Xenopus tropicalis: one gene and its partners. The protein of the gene in region 4 purifies or fractionates together with the protein of the main gene of each other region. This does not show direct contact. Links are inferred from orthologs where the notes say so. Each region holds a gene or a part of one and is shown on either strand. Other genes may lie near its edges. The genes, in order: cep97, cep290, cep76 and ccp110.

Region 1 (3,761 bases), on a different chromosome or scaffold from region 4:
CTTGTTATTGGTTAATGTGTAAATACCATTTTTATTATTTACTACACTGACCTGCTTTGAACAAAAAAAAAAAAGAATTTTCTCAAAAAGCATAGCCCAAACAAATTTCTAGTAACAGCTATGTGCTCTATAGCAGTGACACAGTTAGCCAGAATGACTTCAGTTTTTGACATCCAGGATAGTAGTAGTTTTGATATCAATTACAACGGACCTCCTTGCCAGTTTTATTATTTGCAGTGGAAAGGGAAAACACTTGTAGCAACATGGTCTTCCAATGCAGTTACTGAAGAAAATTCTTTATTCTTTAGCATTGTTTTTTTAGTCAAAATTGTTTTTCCAATGACAGTAAATAAGTAGCTTATAAATCTGGTCCCTTGTGTCTGTGCTGTAGGCTAAAAAAAGAGAAAGAAGAGGAGCGAATACAAAGACTTGTGCAAGGGGAAGCCGTGAGGTACCTTTGGGAACAGGTATGTTTTGAATTACTTTTTTACTCTTTAACAATTTACGTACATTATATTGCAAAATATAATATTTTCCAGTGTGACTAGTGTAAGATCTCATCACACTGCATAATCACGCTCTGTGTGATAAGACAAAGCTTTCCAGTTAGGTAGTTTGGAGTAAAAAGATTTTTTTTTTTTTTTTATCTATTTTGAATTGTTTAAAATGTGTGCTTTCCAAAAAACATTGCTATTCTGAAGTAAGGTTATCAAATGTTGAATGAAAAACTGGGGAAAGGTAGTGTGGTGTGGCCATTTTAAATAATTGGGCAAAAGGCGCATTTTCCCAGGGCCACCTGTAAACGGGGCCAACTAGCACACCTTTCATCTAGGATAACTTTTGGCAGAAGTGGCAGACCCTTCATTTTAATTAAGTCGAAGAGCTCTACAGTAGTGTGATTATTTTAATTTATTTGCCTTTTTCTTGTGGCATCACCATTTTGTAATTTGCTCCCTGTGCTGTCAGTCCATGGTGGCACACCTAGGCATCATGTCTACTTCCTTAACAGCAGACCATTTCTTCACTGGCTGCCTTACTGTATTGAACCTCATGTACTTATGACAAATTTCCTGGTGCAGTCGGGGCCCGCCAACTAAATTTTACCCAGGGCCTGTTGGTACCGTAAAGCGGCCCTGAGGTGCCGTGTACTTTGCACGCTGAGGATTTTTAGGCCGCATCTACCTTTTGCCACACCCCTTAAATCACTTCTATTCAATAGATACTTTTTTTATAATTTGAAACAACAGCTTCATTCTAACCTTCTCCAGAACACATTGCAGCATAAAAGCTGAAAAGATGGGAATGGAACCAGGGTAGCACAGCTATAACACCTGCGACACATTGACATTACTGTAATTGCTCCATTAACCTACCATACCCACTTTCCACACATTTTTCTTTTTATTTTCTTATGCTTTATCCTTCTTTTTCCATCTGCTTTTTTGCTCTATACATTTTTCTCCCCTGCACCTTTTTTTTTTTTTTTTTTTTTTTTTGCAACTTGCATGCTGCATTTTGCAAGGTATAAATTGGTTAGACTGCCTCTCTTGTGCCCCTTAGTGTTTTAGCATTTGAAGTAGTAAAGATGCAGTGGCAAGCTGCAGATTCAGGCCCTTCAGACCAATTTGTAAACTTATCTGCTTGTGTATTGGTCCCTCCAACGGGTCTACCCAACCAATATCTGCGCAATGATGCTGTCCTCAATCCGACTGCCTACATAGCAGCAGTTATGATCTTATCATTGGCCTAAGCTCCAAGCAATTGGGTCTGCTTGGTATTGTAAACCCCAAGGTGGGCACGTCTTTGAAAGATATGCTTGTTTGGAGACCTTGATAAACAAGTGGATCTTCATGTGTGTGGCCAGCTTTAGACAAAAAAGTAGGTCTGTTCTTGCAAGGTTGTGTAGCAGCTAGTGATTTTCCTTTAGTAAAATACACCAAAAACTTCAGATTAAAATTTCTCTTCTATTTCACAGGTACAAGCCATACAACAATGGCAAAATACAGTAAAATGGCAAACTGCCAATGGTTGTAATGATTTTCAACCACTCAGTAATTCAAAGCATGACAATCCTGTTTTGGAAGAGATACCTTCTTGTAATGCTTTAATCCCTGAAAAGCTGAATAGAAAAACATCACCAGACATCCCAGACTCTGGGTTTCACTCTGTCATATTGAATCACTGCACCCTGAATAGTACTGAGAAGAATTCCTCTGAGGAAAGCGAATATTCTCAGCCCTCTCTGGATACCGTTCGACATTACAATGACAAGGCACCAGACAGCCCTTCAGAACACGATTTGACTAGAGAAGAGCAAAGCCATAGCAGCAAAGAAAGTTTCACCAGTGAGCAGGACAGCAGTCTTCTGCAGCAGTATCTAAAGTCTGTTGAGCAGCTGGATGAGACTGAAGATAATACAAGCTACAGTGACAGGACTGAGGAAAGTAGACCTGAAATTACCAATTGTTCAGACAATTCTGACTTGTCCTGCAGCATCTCCCACTTCCTACCTGAAAACAGTAAGCAGGAAAACACTGACATACATAGCAACTTACCTTCTATAGATGATGGACAAAGCACACAAAAAACATGTGATTCTGGTTTACCAGTGCCACAGCCAGAATTAGTCCTTTAAGTACCTGTGTGTCAGCAGAATTGGTTTATTGACTTTCGTGTGGAACTGAATTTGAGAATCTCTTCTACTTTTATGCACTTTAAATTATCACACCATTTTACTAAAAGCACATCATGCCATCTTTCTGTTCAATAAATTCCATATTTATGTACAATCCTCTGCAACAAGCATCTATTTTCTGTATACTGCTATTTCATACAGTGTAGGTAGTATAACAAAGTATATGTGAGTGAACTGTGCAGTGTGCATGTTGATGGAAAGCAGAATTAACTTTGCATGTATTTTAACTATGCCTTAAATATCTTCTACCAAACTGTTATCGTCTATTAGCAGTGTTAAAAAAGAAACATATCATACAGTACACCAGGAAAAGCAAAGGTAAATGCAGCACCTTTTCTTGAACTGTTATTCATCTTGTTCTCACAGACAATATGAGGAATCAGTCTAGAGTCTGTAATTTCAGCAGTAAAGAAATCAGAAGAAAATATCCAGGTTATATAAAATATGTGGCTATTAAAGCCAGTTTGAACGGCTTTGTATTTCTTATGTAGTTTGACTCTCCAGTACCTCAGAAAACATTTTGACAAACGTAGCATCCAAGATACTAAATATGACTACTGTAAAGATAGTTATTGGAATAGTACAGGAAAATGTTAGTAAAAGTTGATATGCCTTTCAAGATAAATGTCACATGTACACAGGAATTGAAAAAATGCACCAATATGGCCGGACTGTGTTACAATCTTTCCAATCACTTATGGAAATGCAACTGCAGCTCTGAGTCAGGTTATTATCCCTCTTACAGGTTGACAACTCAATCACACTTCAATCTTTTTTTTATTTTTACACATATAAACTGTGGCCCAGTAGCACCACTGCTAACAATTGATCCAATAACTCAGTGGAGGAGTCCTCAGTCACAAATCTGTATCGCCCACTTAACTATCTGACATTTTATTTGAAGAGTGTGGGGGGTGATTTAATCTCATTCTCCCTTAATTTTTGGTGTCTTTGTAGGATAGGTGAGTGGGTAAAAACTCACCAAACCTACAGACTATAGGCCTGACACATTTTTTTTGGAAGGATGTATTTATGTCCAGGGTAATACTACCCAGTTTATCTTTTA
Region 2 (4,560 bases), on a different chromosome or scaffold from region 4:
ATCTTCCAATAACAACACTGTTTAGCTTCACAAAATATACCGACACAAATGAAAGGAAGGTGGTCATTGATATAACTTACTTGTTCATTAACTTGTTTCTCCCTTTCCAACTCATTTGCCATATCTTTGCATTCTCTCTCACTCTGACGCAACTGCTCCTCCAGCTGTCTAATTTCTTCACGCAAAAAACGTGAATCTCTGCTACCAGAGGATAGCTGTGCCACCTGTTTTAAAAACAAGAAAAAATACATTCTAATATTTGAACTTTGCCTTTCAAATTGAACAACTTTAAACTGAGGTTATCTATATCCTAAAAATCTGTAGAAGAGAAATGTATCCTATATAATGTAAACTAGCAAGGTTAAGCTTTTGAGGAGTTACAAGTTTGTAATGTCACTTTTTAGACTAATAAAATGTATTATTTACAAATATGCATAATCTTATATGCAGTGTGATTTTTTACTCTCTGTATATTTGCATTAATTGCCTTTGCATGTATTGGCTTTAGAGGATTGAGTCATATTGGCTGTTACTGAGGTTTACTAAATAAAAATCAAGATAGAAGCTGTATAAATGATATCTATATAAAGAATATTAACCGTTTGCTTGCTGATGCCATATGTGCTACATCGACAGCAAAGTGACAGCCTGCCAAAAAAAATATACGTCACATACAGTACAGACAAAATAGTTTTCAACCCTTAAAGGAGAAAGAAAAGTGCAATTACTTGGGGGTACCAAAATGTTAGGCACCCCCCAGTGATTGTAATCACTTATCTTATACCCCGGGCTGGTGCTCCTGTTAGAAGAAAACCGCACCAGTCCGAGGTAGCGATCCTCTTCCTTCTTCTGTCTTCATGCCAACAGCGCATACTCAGTAAAGTGAAAAGCCGAACTTTAATTTAAAAAGTGGTGTTTCCACTCTACTGCACATGCGTTTGTCACTAAGAAACAAGACAGGAGGAGGAGGATCACTCGTTCGCAGCTACCCTGGGCTGGTGCAGTTTTCTCCTAACAAGAGCACCGGCCAAGGAATAATGTAAGCGATTACAATCACTTGGGGGTGCTTTGCACTTTGGGACCTCCCCAGTAATTTTACCTTTCCTTCTCCTTTAACACAAAACAGGAGTGCTTTAAAATATATGACATGAAAAAAAAAGTGATAATAAAGATCTATAGAAGAGAAACTCACCTCGATTTCATTCTCCAGACGCTTTACTCTGTTTCTTAATTGGTTTTCTGTCAAATGAAACAGGAAATATTAATCAAAAATGAAGCTGCAGGGCTATCTATGAATTAAGTAAAATGGCCAAAGAGAGTGCCGATTCTACCAAAAACATCACCTTTCGTTTTATGTAGGGCCCTTAGGAAAGTAGTTTCAACCATAGTCATAATAAACAGACAAGTATTTTGTCTGAATTTCCAGAAAACAAAAAGTAATGGTTATTTTATTAACCTTTTATTTTCTCACTTGCTATATAATTATCAAATAAACTGCTTTATGGAGAAAATTCAAAAACATCACAACTGCACCTTAGTATGAGATTAGAATGATTCCCGTCTAGCGATGAAGAGCCTTGTGTGATAATGCCCTAAAGCACCTATGCTGCAGTGCAAACTATCCCAATCTGGCTAGCCTTTCTTCATAACAGAGAAATTAGAGACCCTTTATCTAGTTAGTTGTCCGGACTTTATTTCAATAGTGTCCCTTTTTCAGCTCTGAAGACCAAAACTACATAGCATTTTTCATATGCGGCTTTACTACTGAATTGTAAAGAATAAGAATAAGCACTGCTCCCAAGCTGTGAACAATAATTCTGATTGTAAAACATGCTTGTATATTCCCTCTCCCCCCCCCCCCCCATTCCTTTCTGTACCCTCACCTATCCCATGTTAAAATGATAAATAAAGAATATACAAAAAAAAAAAAGAATAAGCACTGCTCCCATGGAACCATTCCTAATACCCACTGAAGTAATGATTGTAAGGTGCTAAACTTTGCTTTTCTAATATTTTAGAAAATCATTTAGGCAATTTTCTTCTGTTTTTTTTTTTTGTTTTGTTTTTAACACAAAACCACACAGGCTAGCAGTAATGTGTGTTTTATGAATACTTCAATACCTACAAAATGACAATTTTGTTTTGTTTTTTCCAAATACTCATAATGTTTTGTGACACATACCAGTTTTCAGTTGTTCTTCATTTGCCTTCTCTGCTTCTTCTAACAATAATTGTACCTCTTGAGCCTTTAACTAAACAAGAAAGTAGAAAACATTAATATCAGAAAAATATTTAAATTTCTGAAAAATTCCATCAAGAAAACCATTATTTTGATAATGTTAAAGTCTTTTCATCAGTTTCCATTGAAGGGACAAATGGAGCTTTAAACCCATTGTCAACTAGATGACTACTACAATTGCATAATGCTATATACTTGCTGTGAACTACTGACAAAATAAAGTTACAAAAAAAGAGCAGTTATGTGAGGAAGCATACCTTCATCAAGCATTGTGAAATTCGAAACAGCTGTATCAAGTTTTCATTTGGTTCATCTTTTATATCTGTGCTTTTGACCTAAGAAAGACAAATCATTTTTTGTTAAAAAAAATTACAAAATTCAGAATGATGTCTGTTCCTAATATAAAAGGGATAAATACTATTCACTTACGGATAAATTCAATAAAGGTGCAGAATATACGTTTTGCCTATTATTTTAATCAGAAAAAAAAGCTTTTTGTTATTTCTTGAGCTACACAGGAAAATTGAAGCCACTTCATGTTTGGTTCAAATAATCCCCCTACATAATGGTCAACTTTTTATCCATACACTGCTACTCTCATTATCTACCTAGCAGAACTAAACACAAGTAGCTTCAAATTTCTGTTGCCCTGTTTGGCTTAAATAATAACAAAAAAACACAGGTTTGTTAATAAAGCAAATGACAAAAAGTTTATTTAAAAAAAATCCTATTCACTAAACTCATGTAAATATGTGATGGTCTCATCACCTGTACCATTTGTAACCTTAGTTTGTATATTTAATAATACTTGCTCTTTGTGCTCTGTGTTTAAAACGTCTATAATTTTTAACTTTGTGACTGGTAAAACACCAGTAGACAAACCATTGATATCGTAGTTTGCATTTCATTGGCTGTTCTTTCTTGATTGGGAAGAGCATCTGGGTCCACTTTCATGAGTCTTCCCCAATCCAAAGAAGGCGGCATCTTTAAGGACTTTCTGGTAATATAAAGAACAATATTTACTTAAAGAGAAGTAAATCATTTGGTTATTAAAGCAAGGCTATCATTTCCATTGGTAAAAAATAGTTGTTTTTACTAGAAACAGACTAGTGTTTAAAGTGTTGTTCACCTTTAATTTCCAAATCTTATTAAATTGTTCTTAGAGTGCTGGAAAATCCATTACAAAAAGTACAAAGACACTGAAAAAGCTACTTTTTATACCTGCCAAATGTCCTTCTCTGATCTGTTTTCTGACGGGATGGGAGTGGCCTATTTTGACCCTGACACACTGACAACTTATATGCTTACATTGTCACGTCGAGGCTTTGCCTTTATTTTTTTCCTATTTGACCAATTCAATAGTTGCTTGTGCACTCTAACCAGAAGCATAAATTAAAAAGTTAGATTTGCCACAGGCACAGGAAGCAATGTTAGACTGACAGGAGACACAGCCAATAGGAGTTAAGTCTGCTGTCAGTACTATGCATGACATCACATAAGTAAAAAAGCAACTGTACTGTTTATAGAGGTCAATGCACCCCCCCCCAACCCCTCTCCCTCTTATACTGGGGCCCCCGAGGCTGCCCCCATTAATCTCACGGAGCAGTGGGGAGAGGCGTGGCGCCCCCTAAATTTGTGCCACCCTAGGCCTGGGCCTTTCTGACCTCACCACAAATCCGGGCCTGCCCCCAACACAGGATCTGTGCAGAAGTGAAGAATCAGCAGAGGGATTATTCTGAGGTGCTACACAATTTTTGTTAACTTTCTATATGGCAAAAATTGTTCTATTAATGCAAACTGTTAGATTTGTGAATGTTGTACAACCCCTTTAAAACTCAGAATGCCAGTAGACTATTAAACAAAAAAAAAAATAAGTACCACAGTTTTCAACTGAGTTTATGAGGCAGCGGAAGGTAAGTGCCAAATGCAGATGGATAGCATCAAGTCTTAAGGAGAGTACAGAAATGTAGTAAATTTCTTGGAACATACGCTGAAGCATATTTAATACAGAAAACAGGTGTCAAATTGGATTTGTTGCAAATGAGAGTTCTGTAGAAGTCCTGTTTGGCCTTTGACAGAGCAAAGGTATAGCAGGTGAAATGTATAATGAATGAAGCCTGCTTGTGTATGCTTGTAGGATAACAGTGTATCAAAGAAATGCACTTAAAGGAACAGTAACATCAAAAAATGAAAGTGTATAAAAGTAACTAAAATATAATGTGCTGCTGCCCTGCACTGGTAAAAGTTGTGTGTTTACTTCAGAAACCCTACTATAATTTATATAAATAAGCTGCTATGTAGCCATGGAGGCAGCCATTCAA
Region 3 (4,560 bases), on a different chromosome or scaffold from region 4:
AGCATACAACATAATTAAGATCATTGATCATTTTGGTGGTTGTAGATGGATGTGCACGGCAAAATACGAGAAGTCTTGGCAGAATCGTTAAGAGAAGAATTTAGGACAGAAAGCCAGCAGTTATCGGAGGAAGATCTGATGAAAGCCTTAAGGCAGCGAGGTATTGTTGATGAAGTCATGAAGGAACTTCATTTTATGGAGGTGAGTTAGGGAGGGTGTTAAAAAATGTGTGCTTTTATTAGATTCATGAAATGCACTTCCTAATGTAATATTTGTTTTATTTAATTTAGGACAGGGATACCAGGGAATTAACATCTACACCAAAGCCAGCCACACATTTTATTGACAAAGAACCAAGAACACTAAAAAAAAGTAAGCTAGTCGTATTTATAGTATACAGGTTTTGTACAGGTACAGGCTGCATATTGCAGTTCTCGGTGTCTCTGAAAATACCCCGGCTTGACTCATGTGGTAGCTGTAGATCCAGAAGAGTGGGGCAGCAGCTTCCTGTCATTTTTTTCTGATTTGTTTATTTAACTAATTTGCTGACCAAAGCTTGCAACAAGGTACAGTGGTCTATGCAATTAGTCAAATCAGTCAATATCTGACCATTCAATACATGGCAGTTGTTTAATATCAGCCAAGTTGTCTAATAAACAGAAACTTTTATGGGGTTATGTAATAAAAGTTTCTAAGTTTGCCCAGGAGCAGTAACCCATAGCAACCAATCAGCAGGTAGCATTTACTGGTCACCTGTTTAAAAGCCAACACGTTATTTGTTGCTATGGGTTACTGCTCCTGGGCAGACTTTTATTGCATATTGGGGCTAGAGCATTAAAGGGAAAGAGAAAGCTTAACAGATTTAAATGTTGTGAATGCAGGCTTTCCGAAATGCAAATAACTGTGAATGTTAAATAAAAGTTTTTCTAGTGTCTGGATATACTGTGCTGCTTTCCATGGCCAACAGCTATTAAATGATTGTAAATTATGAGCCATAAGTTTGCTGTCTATGATAAATTGCACTGCAGTCCTGTGCCCTGATACTAGGTAAAAGAGCTTATATTTAAAATATACATACATTGTTTGATCTTGACTTTCAAATCAAGCTGCACAACACTGGTATTATGGGATGATGACAACTATTTAAAGGAAGTTTTTTTTTTTCAAAACACATCAGTTAATAGAGCTTCTCCAGCAGAATCCTGCACTGAAATCCATTTTTCATAAACACAGATTTTTTCATATTTAATTTTGAAATTTCACATGGGGCTAGCCATATTCTTCATTTCCCAGGGTGCCACAGCCATGTGACATGTGCTCTGATAAACTTCATCGCACTTTACTGCTGAGCTGCATGTTGGAGTGGTATCACCCCCCTCCCAGCAGCCGATCAGCAGAACAATAGGAAGGCAGCAAAATATCAGCTCCCAGTAGATATTAGAATAGCACTCAATAGTAAGAAATCCAAGTCTGGCTTGGGACTCCTCCAGTTGCATGGTAGTAAAACAATAGGTTTTAGAAGTAGTAGAAACAATAGGTTAGCTGAAAGCAGTTCTTATGTGTAGAGCTTTCTGAAAGCTCAGACTGAGGCACAATGCACTAAAATGGCTGCCTACACACCAATATTACAACTAAAAAAAAAATACATTTGTTGGTTCCAGAATCAAGTTTTCAATAGTAGAGTGAATTATCTGCTATGTAAACAGTGTAATTTAGAAATAAAAAGTATACCATAAAAACCATGACAGTATCCCTTTAAAGTTTCGTACCTGCTCGCTCTTTTGTTGTCATGCCAAAAAATGCATCATTGTTAGAAAGAATATAGACAATGTCATGCATATTTAATTTATATTTTAATAGGTATTTTTTAATTCTTTAGAATGACCCCTTGAGTATAACATAAACATTTTTTAAAAATTAATTTAATTAAAAAATACAATGTTTTGCTTCAAAAACAAAATATATTGGTGGATTACTCAGTAGGCAGAGAGACCAGTGTAATGTGTAACCAAGTTATTGGGTTATGGGATCCCTTATCCAGAAACCAGTTATCCAGAAAGCTCAGAATAAAGTGAAGGCCATCTCCCATAAAGTCCTTTCTAAAAATTTTTTTTTTTAAATTATTATTAAATTATAAAATTAATATTGTACTTGATCCTAACTTGGGTATAATTAATCCAATTGGATTTATTTAATGTTTAAATGTTTTTAGCAGATTTAAGATATGGAAATCCAAATTACAGAAAGACACTTTATGAAGAAAAGTCCAGGTCCTGAGCATTCTGGATAACCGGTTCCATAACTGTACAAATCTTCATACAGTGTATAAAAGTTTTACTCACTTAAGCCTTTCTTCTTTCTCATACTGATGTTACAATTAAAATAGACTACAGTAAGGCCAAAAATATTTTGTATTTTTTCCAGCTAATGTTGACCCTACACGTAGATACCTTCATCTTCAGGTTTTAAGTGGAAAAGCTTTTCTCGAGCACCTGCAAGAATCTGATCCCCTTCCAGGTCAAGCCTGCTCTACCTTTACTCTCTGCCTACACTTTAGAAACCAAAGATTTCGCTCAAAGCCTGTACCCTGTGCTTGTGAACCGGACTTCCAGGATGGTTTCTTGCTAGAAGTGCACAAAGACAGCTTAGGTAACACTGCATGCTTGGAATATTTTTATCTCCAAAATGCTGTGAATGTTTTTTGTTTTTGACATGTTTTTTAATCCCAGTTCCTGATAGAGACAGCTAAACCATGGTGATTTATAACTGGTTTGGGATTATTTGAAGGAAAGAAAAAGTAACAGGAGTGAATTTTTCTAAAACCGAAACAAATTGAGCTCAGAAGATGCTGGTTTTTATGAAATCTAATACAATGGTCTTGAGCAAACTAGCAGAAATAATTATATGTGGATTAAGAAAATATATATTGTATCATTTGTATTATCTGTAGATTATTAGATATGACTGGGGATTTAGACTGTGATGTGTGTAGCATTTTGAGAAACCGGCACTTGGTGACAGAGCTCTTTTTTCTTTCCATTTTTAGGTGATGGAAGCAGGATGGCTGATGCCACCACCATGTTATCAATCTGTGACCCTGTGCAGCTGGTGCTATTAAAGACAGATACATCTGGTGAAACCTCACTAGTTTCATCCCACTTTTTAGAGTGGCGCTCAGTTCTGGGAACAGAAAAGGGAGCAACGAGTCTTGTTGTGGAGCTCCTTGGAGTAGGTGAGAAATAAATTGTGTCCATGTTGAATCCAAGCTGTTCCTAAGGCTGATGCCACATGGGGCTGATTCTCTGCCTGCATTTTTATGCCGTGTATGGCATCAGCCTAGGCCTTGATGCTCTACTACTCTCAGCCTACGTTTTTTTTTGCAGGCTGAGAAGCAGATCTTTACGAACTTCAGTAAAACTGCATTGAGAAGTACAGCTTCCGCCTCTGCTCGCCTCAAAACACAAAAGCAAGCATTTTTGGGCCAATCTCCCACTCTGCTGTGCTTCGTGTAATTGAGCAGAGCCAGAAGCTGTACTTGTCAACGTACTTTTACTGAGGTGCTTAAGGGATGAGATGCACTTCTCTCAGCCTACAAGAATATGCAGCCTGAGAGCAGTGTAGCAAACACTCCATGTTCCTTCAGCCTAAGGAAGAATGTATTAACTGGTCTTTGATCCTTTAATAACTCTAGCTAAGAGATTAATACAAAGCTAGAACTCAAGCATCAAGAATGTATTATATTTACCTATACATTCAAAATTTATGGAAATGTTCTAATGGCAACATCTCTTATGTTTTAAAGGTGCTGAATGCAAAGTGTCTGTTGGCATCCTCAATGTAAAACTAGAACTGTATCCACTACTAAACAAAACACTTTCCCAGGAAGTCATTAACACTCAGGTATGCAAAGCTAGTTGTACTACTAATGTACTTATATATAATTTGGTTTCTCATTAATACACCAGTGCAGTTAATGATAGCTACTAATTAGGCATATGTTTTTATTTAACTACTGCTTGTTAGAAAATGAATGCAAAGATCTCATCGGCTGCTATGGGAAACTGCACTAGTAAATTAGCCTCAAAAACTAATTTAGGAGGGGAAGTGTGATATGATATGCTTTTCTTAATACTATAATATTCATTTCAAGTGGTCCCAACTTCTTTAAAAACCATCTGTTCACAGTTTACCTTGGAACGGCAAAAGACAGCTGAGAAGGAAAGGCTCTTTCTGGTGTATGCCAAGCAATGGTGGAGAGAATATTTGCAAATTCGCCCTTCACATAACTCCAGGCTTGTAAAGATTTTTGCACAGGTTTATAGTGAACTTTTAATTAAATGCAGTGTTAATAACTGTCCATGTGATTTGTAACAGTATAATATTGTTTTATAGCAGACAAAACAATACAGTATCATTATTGTCCATTTATGGTCCAGAATTCAAGATCTGAAACTATAGACACATGAAAAGCTAAAACTAAACAATTTGAGCAGTAAAAAACAATTTGAAAGGAAATATACGTGTTTATTTTATAGAACAAAGGATTGCATGCACCCCTAC
Region 4 (4,560 bases):
AAAAAGTGCCTTGTGTGTTGCATCATGATATAGACCTTCCAGATACAATGATCCAACATGGGATTAAAACTAATTGCTTGACATGTTCACCAGACATGATAAAGCACTCTTCACCAGTAGAACTCAATAAATCTTATGATGTGGAAACACCATCACCAATATTGATACAAAGCCAAGGTTCAGGTCAAGCCACAGAGACTCCACTTGGACCCTGTCTTAGAGAACCATTTTTGGAAAACCAGCCCGACATTCAGATTAAGCGTAGACTTGAACTAGACTTAGACACCACACCACCTGCCTCTGGCGAACAAAAGAGGTGGCTTCATAAGCAGAGGAACCGGAGTGGGTCTCTGCAGATGACTTCTACTGATCTGAGCAAAGGTAGTCTAGGTAAGGAGATGAATTGCTACAAGACAATAATTGTACATGATGTGGATGGTGATTTGTCAGTTCTCAAAAAGACACATTTTAGTAGTGTTGGTGGACAGTTAAATGAATATTTCTCTGATCATGCCTTCTAATATGTTCCACTTATTAAATAGAATATCTCTCTCTTAAGTTATGATTACTGAATTGTCACAAAGTAAATATATCCATTCCATTTGGTATTCAAAAAACTTGGACATATTCAAAGTGCTCTTTCCTCATTACTCTTCAGTCTACCATTCAAACCACTTACTGTATCTCATTTCATGGGTTAGTGACCCAAGACATTAAAACTGGGATTAGAATCCCAGTGTAGGACAAGTAGAAGAGGTCAAAGGGAACAAGAAAGAATAATTTAAAATAGATGGTAAATTAAATATGATTGCCTATGCTATGGTAATTAAAATTACAGTCCAACTTTGTTTGTAGTAAATACTTTATAAATAATTGAAGCCTAGCTCATTAAATGCATAGAATAATAATAATATTCTCTTAATATTTGCCTTCATATGTGTGAGCGGTTGCTACCATATTCTCAATGAAACTCTCACAGAAGGAATGATTCACAATATGCCATGCCTTTTTTTTTTGTCTGACCTAGGAGATCATTTTAAAAAGAAGATGCTTGATTTTGAAGAAATGAGAAAGAAACTAGAAGAGCAGCATGCATACCAGCTGTCATTGCTCATCGCTGAACAGGAAAGAGAACAAGAGAAACTAAAAAGGGTGATTTGTTTTGTGTTTGTAATGAATGTTTAGGCAAGGTTTGCAGTTTTTGTAGTATCTTGCTGGATTACTGTGAAGGAATGGCCACATAAAGAGATCTCTATTATAAGGCATTTCAGACAGTTCTGTCAAAAATTGCCATCCCTGTGTAATATACCTGCTCTACCTCCTCCCACCCAACTTCTCTCCAATTATACTACTATGGGGCCGATTCACTAAAGGTCGATAAGTGTTATCGCATGTTTTTTTGCGTTAAAATTGACGCGTTAAATAACGACTGATTTGTCAAAGTAATTTCGCATGCTTTAAATCGTGCGCTACAGCAATGCGTTAATTCTCGCATAGAAATAATACTAACACATGATTCACAAACACATATGAAGCGTTAAACACGCTAAATATCACATTAGTCTGTGTGAAGGTTAACACCTACTTGGGGCAGGCGGTACTTAAAGAAAATTGTGGTTTGTAAACTTTTGGCAACACAATATGGACTTTGCAGTGGGATTTGTTCAAGTCTGTGTTGGCCCTAGAGTGATGCAGCCTCCAGATTTTAGGGAAATGGTCATTTTTAAAGTAGTTTTACGAACATTTTAACGCATGCTATAAATAGCGCTGGGTTTAATGACCTTTAGTGAATCAGCCCCTATGTGTCCATCATATCTTTGTGCTCTCCTCTCTCCTTTGATGTCCTTTCTTTCAATTTCTTGCTCTGAACACCATCACGCTCTGTCCCATCACTGTCCCTGTTGCTGATTCTCTCTTACCATGTGTTGCATGCCTCAGTGTTCTGCCCTCTCCCTGCACCTGTCTCCTTATCTCTTTTGCTTCAAATTCAACTTGCTGTCCCCAAGTCCCCTTTCCCTCTGCATATCAATTACGCTAATCATGTTCCTCTCCTTGCACACGAACCTTAACCTTCTATGTAACAGTGCCACTGCTGCATGTAATCTTCCTGCACCATTCCTCTGTCCTCCCATTAACAAAACTGCACAGGTTCATTTGCCTGCCAATTTAATATCCTGGCTGCTTTACCTCTACCACCTTCTGTTCTTTATTTCTTTTCTTCCTGCACCTCCATGCTCTCCTCCTCTATGACCCATACCTTCCCCAATTTTGCTCTCTGTCTTCTGCACCCTCATACTCTGTTCTGCACCTCCTTCTCCATTTCCTCAGGCGCTGTTCTACCAGCTTCCTATATGTATGAAAATCAAGCTTTTTTTCTAGTCTTGTTTATTTGAAAACTAATGCAGAATTTGTTGATTTGCTCTTTAGGAGTTTGAAGAAGAAGAGAAGCAACTGAAGCTAAAGGACACTGAAAGTTCCACTCATACATTAGACCATGGCAGTAGGATTACTGACAGAAATAATATTACTGAAAGCAGTGTACAAGAAAGAGTGTCATTTCCAGTGGATAATTATCATTCATGTTCCACCTATAGCACAGGTAAAACTGCATTATATTTTTACTACTTTATAGAGGGGTTTCGCATAGCTAGAATTCCAATTTTGCCTGTTGAAAGAAAATTTAATTTAAAGCAATTTCCCAATATGTGTTACTTACAAATTTTTATTGATTTTAAAATTATTTGCAATGAAAGCAGATTCCCTTTCTGATGTGTGTAGTGCTGGTCTCTTGACAGACTATAGCAGAAGACAGCTGAATAACAGGCCTATGAGCAATTGTTGCCAAAAAAACAAGCAATAACTTTGAAGACCTTATAATACCTGATTGGTCATATTTGTTTCTAGTTGATTTATTTAAGAACAAATGCTGATGGTAGGATATTTCTACTCTTGCTCAACAGTTTCTGCTACTTCCCAACATAGCTATGGTTCTGCAAACGAATCTTCATTGGGTTTGTGGGGACCTGTAAAAAGCAGAGCTCCAAGCACATCGATCTCAAGTTCTCATGGGAGACTAAAAACCAGATGGTCTCAGGTAACTTGCTTATTGGGACCCTGTCTTTAATGAACTGGTGATGACTTGCTGGAATTGCAGATGGCCTCTCCATATTAGCAGTGGATTGGGAGTTCTAGAATTTTTTTTTTTTTCTCTCATTATTACCCAAGTAATGGGTAAAGCTACTGTGTTTTTTTGTTTTTGTTCCTAAAGGTTTACAGTCCTGCAATGCAGAGGAAATTTAACAAAGCTACAGCACTTGCAAAAGGCTTCCTTACACGTAGACTTATGCAGACAGAGAAGCTAAAGAACCTGAAAAAAACTGTGAAGGTATGGCCTTTATTTTCTCACCTCGATTCACATTTTTACAAAATTCACCACAAAGTTCCAATTAAGTTCCTGCAATTAGAGCAGAGTTTTATATAGAATGCAGAATCAACCATGCCAGCTGTAAATGTATTCTGTATTCTTTAGACATTGTTTTCATATCTGGCATATCATACTGTCAGATGATGCCCTCTTTTGGCTCTTATAAGGAAGTTGTGACCCTACAAGTGGCTATGGAAAAGAAAGTTGTATCCAAGAGATGATGAGACTAGTTCTAGATGAGACTAGAACTTCCGCAGCATCAAACACCTTTAAATGGGCTACAAGGATAAAAAGTGGAAATATACTGTTTTAGGCTGTTGGCATACTCCATGTGTGGAATCTTCAGCCTTCAACCAACTGTTGCACAGTACTGAAAATCTTGCCAGTTATGCTGGTTTGTGATGTAATCAATAGGAAGCTACAGGCTGTACATCTACATGCCTATGGCATGATTCTCTCATTTGGCATGCTAGCTAACAAACTGGATTTGTAGAAGTTACCATACATATTGACAGCACTTGATGGCTCGAGGCATGTATATTAAGAAAAATGTAATTTATTCCTGTACTGGAATGCAATCATGAGAAGATTAAACAGTGCTACTAAAAAACCCTAAAAACTTGCTAGTCCTAATCAGATAGAAATGTGTGTTTTGCTAACTGCTCATTTCAGTATATGTAGCCCTAATTACCTGGATTTTTACCTACTTTGCTATGCAGTATCCCTGGTAAGACCTTTGGCACTGGGAACCAAATAAGAATATGAAAATTTCCCTTTTTTTAATATAAATTCTACAGTAAAACAAGGCCAGTTGTGCAGTTATGTTGCATCAGTTGGAGGGTGGATTTATTACAAATTGTAGCACTTTATATTACATTATAGTATATTACATGCTATTTTTAAGTACAGGCCAACTTATAATTTAAACTGCTAATGTTTGCATTGGATAACATTTCCATTTTGTGTTTCTTAACTAATTAGGACACTGCAGAGTTTATGAGAACATTTCAATCTGAATTTCCACTAAGCCGAGGGATGGTATCTTCCCAAGATGCTTCACTGCAGGAAAGAGTTCTAGCCCAAGTAAGTACAGTGATTATGCAGGCATTTATTTAATATTGTTTAATGCATGAACA

What was found.
Region 1: the proteins of ccp110 (region 4) and cep97 purify together in Homo sapiens (co-immunoprecipitation; 10 studies listed by BioGRID and IntAct, with this or other methods). This does not show direct contact. The link is inferred for Xenopus tropicalis from reciprocal best matches to the Homo sapiens genes CCP110 and CEP97.
Region 2: the proteins of ccp110 (region 4) and cep290 purify together in Homo sapiens (co-immunoprecipitation; 6 studies listed by BioGRID and IntAct, with this or other methods). This does not show direct contact. The link is inferred for Xenopus tropicalis from reciprocal best matches to the Homo sapiens genes CCP110 and CEP290.
Region 3: the proteins of ccp110 (region 4) and cep76 purify together in Homo sapiens (co-immunoprecipitation; 4 studies listed by BioGRID and IntAct, with this or other methods). This does not show direct contact. The link is inferred for Xenopus tropicalis from reciprocal best matches to the Homo sapiens genes CCP110 and CEP76.

The regions. Positions count from the first base shown.
Region 1 is NC_030678.2:101,957,419-101,961,179, forward strand, and holds the end of cep97 (centrosomal protein of 97 kDa), read left to right. Parts: intron 1-391; coding exon 392-467; intron 468-1,975; coding exon 1,976-2,635; 3' UTR 2,636-2,789; downstream 2,790-3,761. UniProt on the Homo sapiens protein: Acts as a key negative regulator of ciliogenesis in collaboration with CCP110 by capping the mother centriole thereby preventing cilia formation. Required for recruitment of CCP110 to the centrosome.
Region 2 is NC_030679.2:54,385,169-54,389,728, forward strand, and holds part of cep290 (centrosomal protein of 290 kDa), read right to left. Parts: intron 4,203-4,560; exon of another isoform or gene 4,118-4,202; intron 3,237-4,117; 5' UTR 3,224-3,236; coding exon 3,122-3,223; intron 2,575-3,121; coding exon 2,497-2,574; intron 2,253-2,496; coding exon 2,183-2,252; intron 1,240-2,182; coding exon 1,193-1,239; intron 225-1,192; coding exon 81-224; intron 1-80. UniProt on the Homo sapiens protein: Involved in early and late steps in cilia formation. Its association with CCP110 is required for inhibition of primary cilia formation by CCP110.
Region 3 is NC_030682.2:103,535,872-103,540,431, forward strand, and holds part of cep76 (centrosomal protein of 76 kDa), read left to right. Parts: intron 1-45; coding exon 46-201; intron 202-290; coding exon 291-372; intron 373-2,424; coding exon 2,425-2,649; intron 2,650-3,046; coding exon 3,047-3,232; intron 3,233-3,802; coding exon 3,803-3,900; intron 3,901-4,185; coding exon 4,186-4,314; intron 4,315-4,560. UniProt on the Homo sapiens protein: Centrosomal protein involved in regulation of centriole duplication. Required to limit centriole duplication to once per cell cycle by preventing centriole reduplication.
Region 4 is NC_030685.2:31,828,035-31,832,594, forward strand, and holds part of ccp110 (centriolar coiled-coil protein of 110 kDa), read left to right. Parts: coding exon 1-390; intron 391-1,027; coding exon 1,028-1,152; intron 1,153-2,427; coding exon 2,428-2,599; intron 2,600-2,960; coding exon 2,961-3,094; intron 3,095-3,268; coding exon 3,269-3,385; intron 3,386-4,405; coding exon 4,406-4,507; intron 4,508-4,560.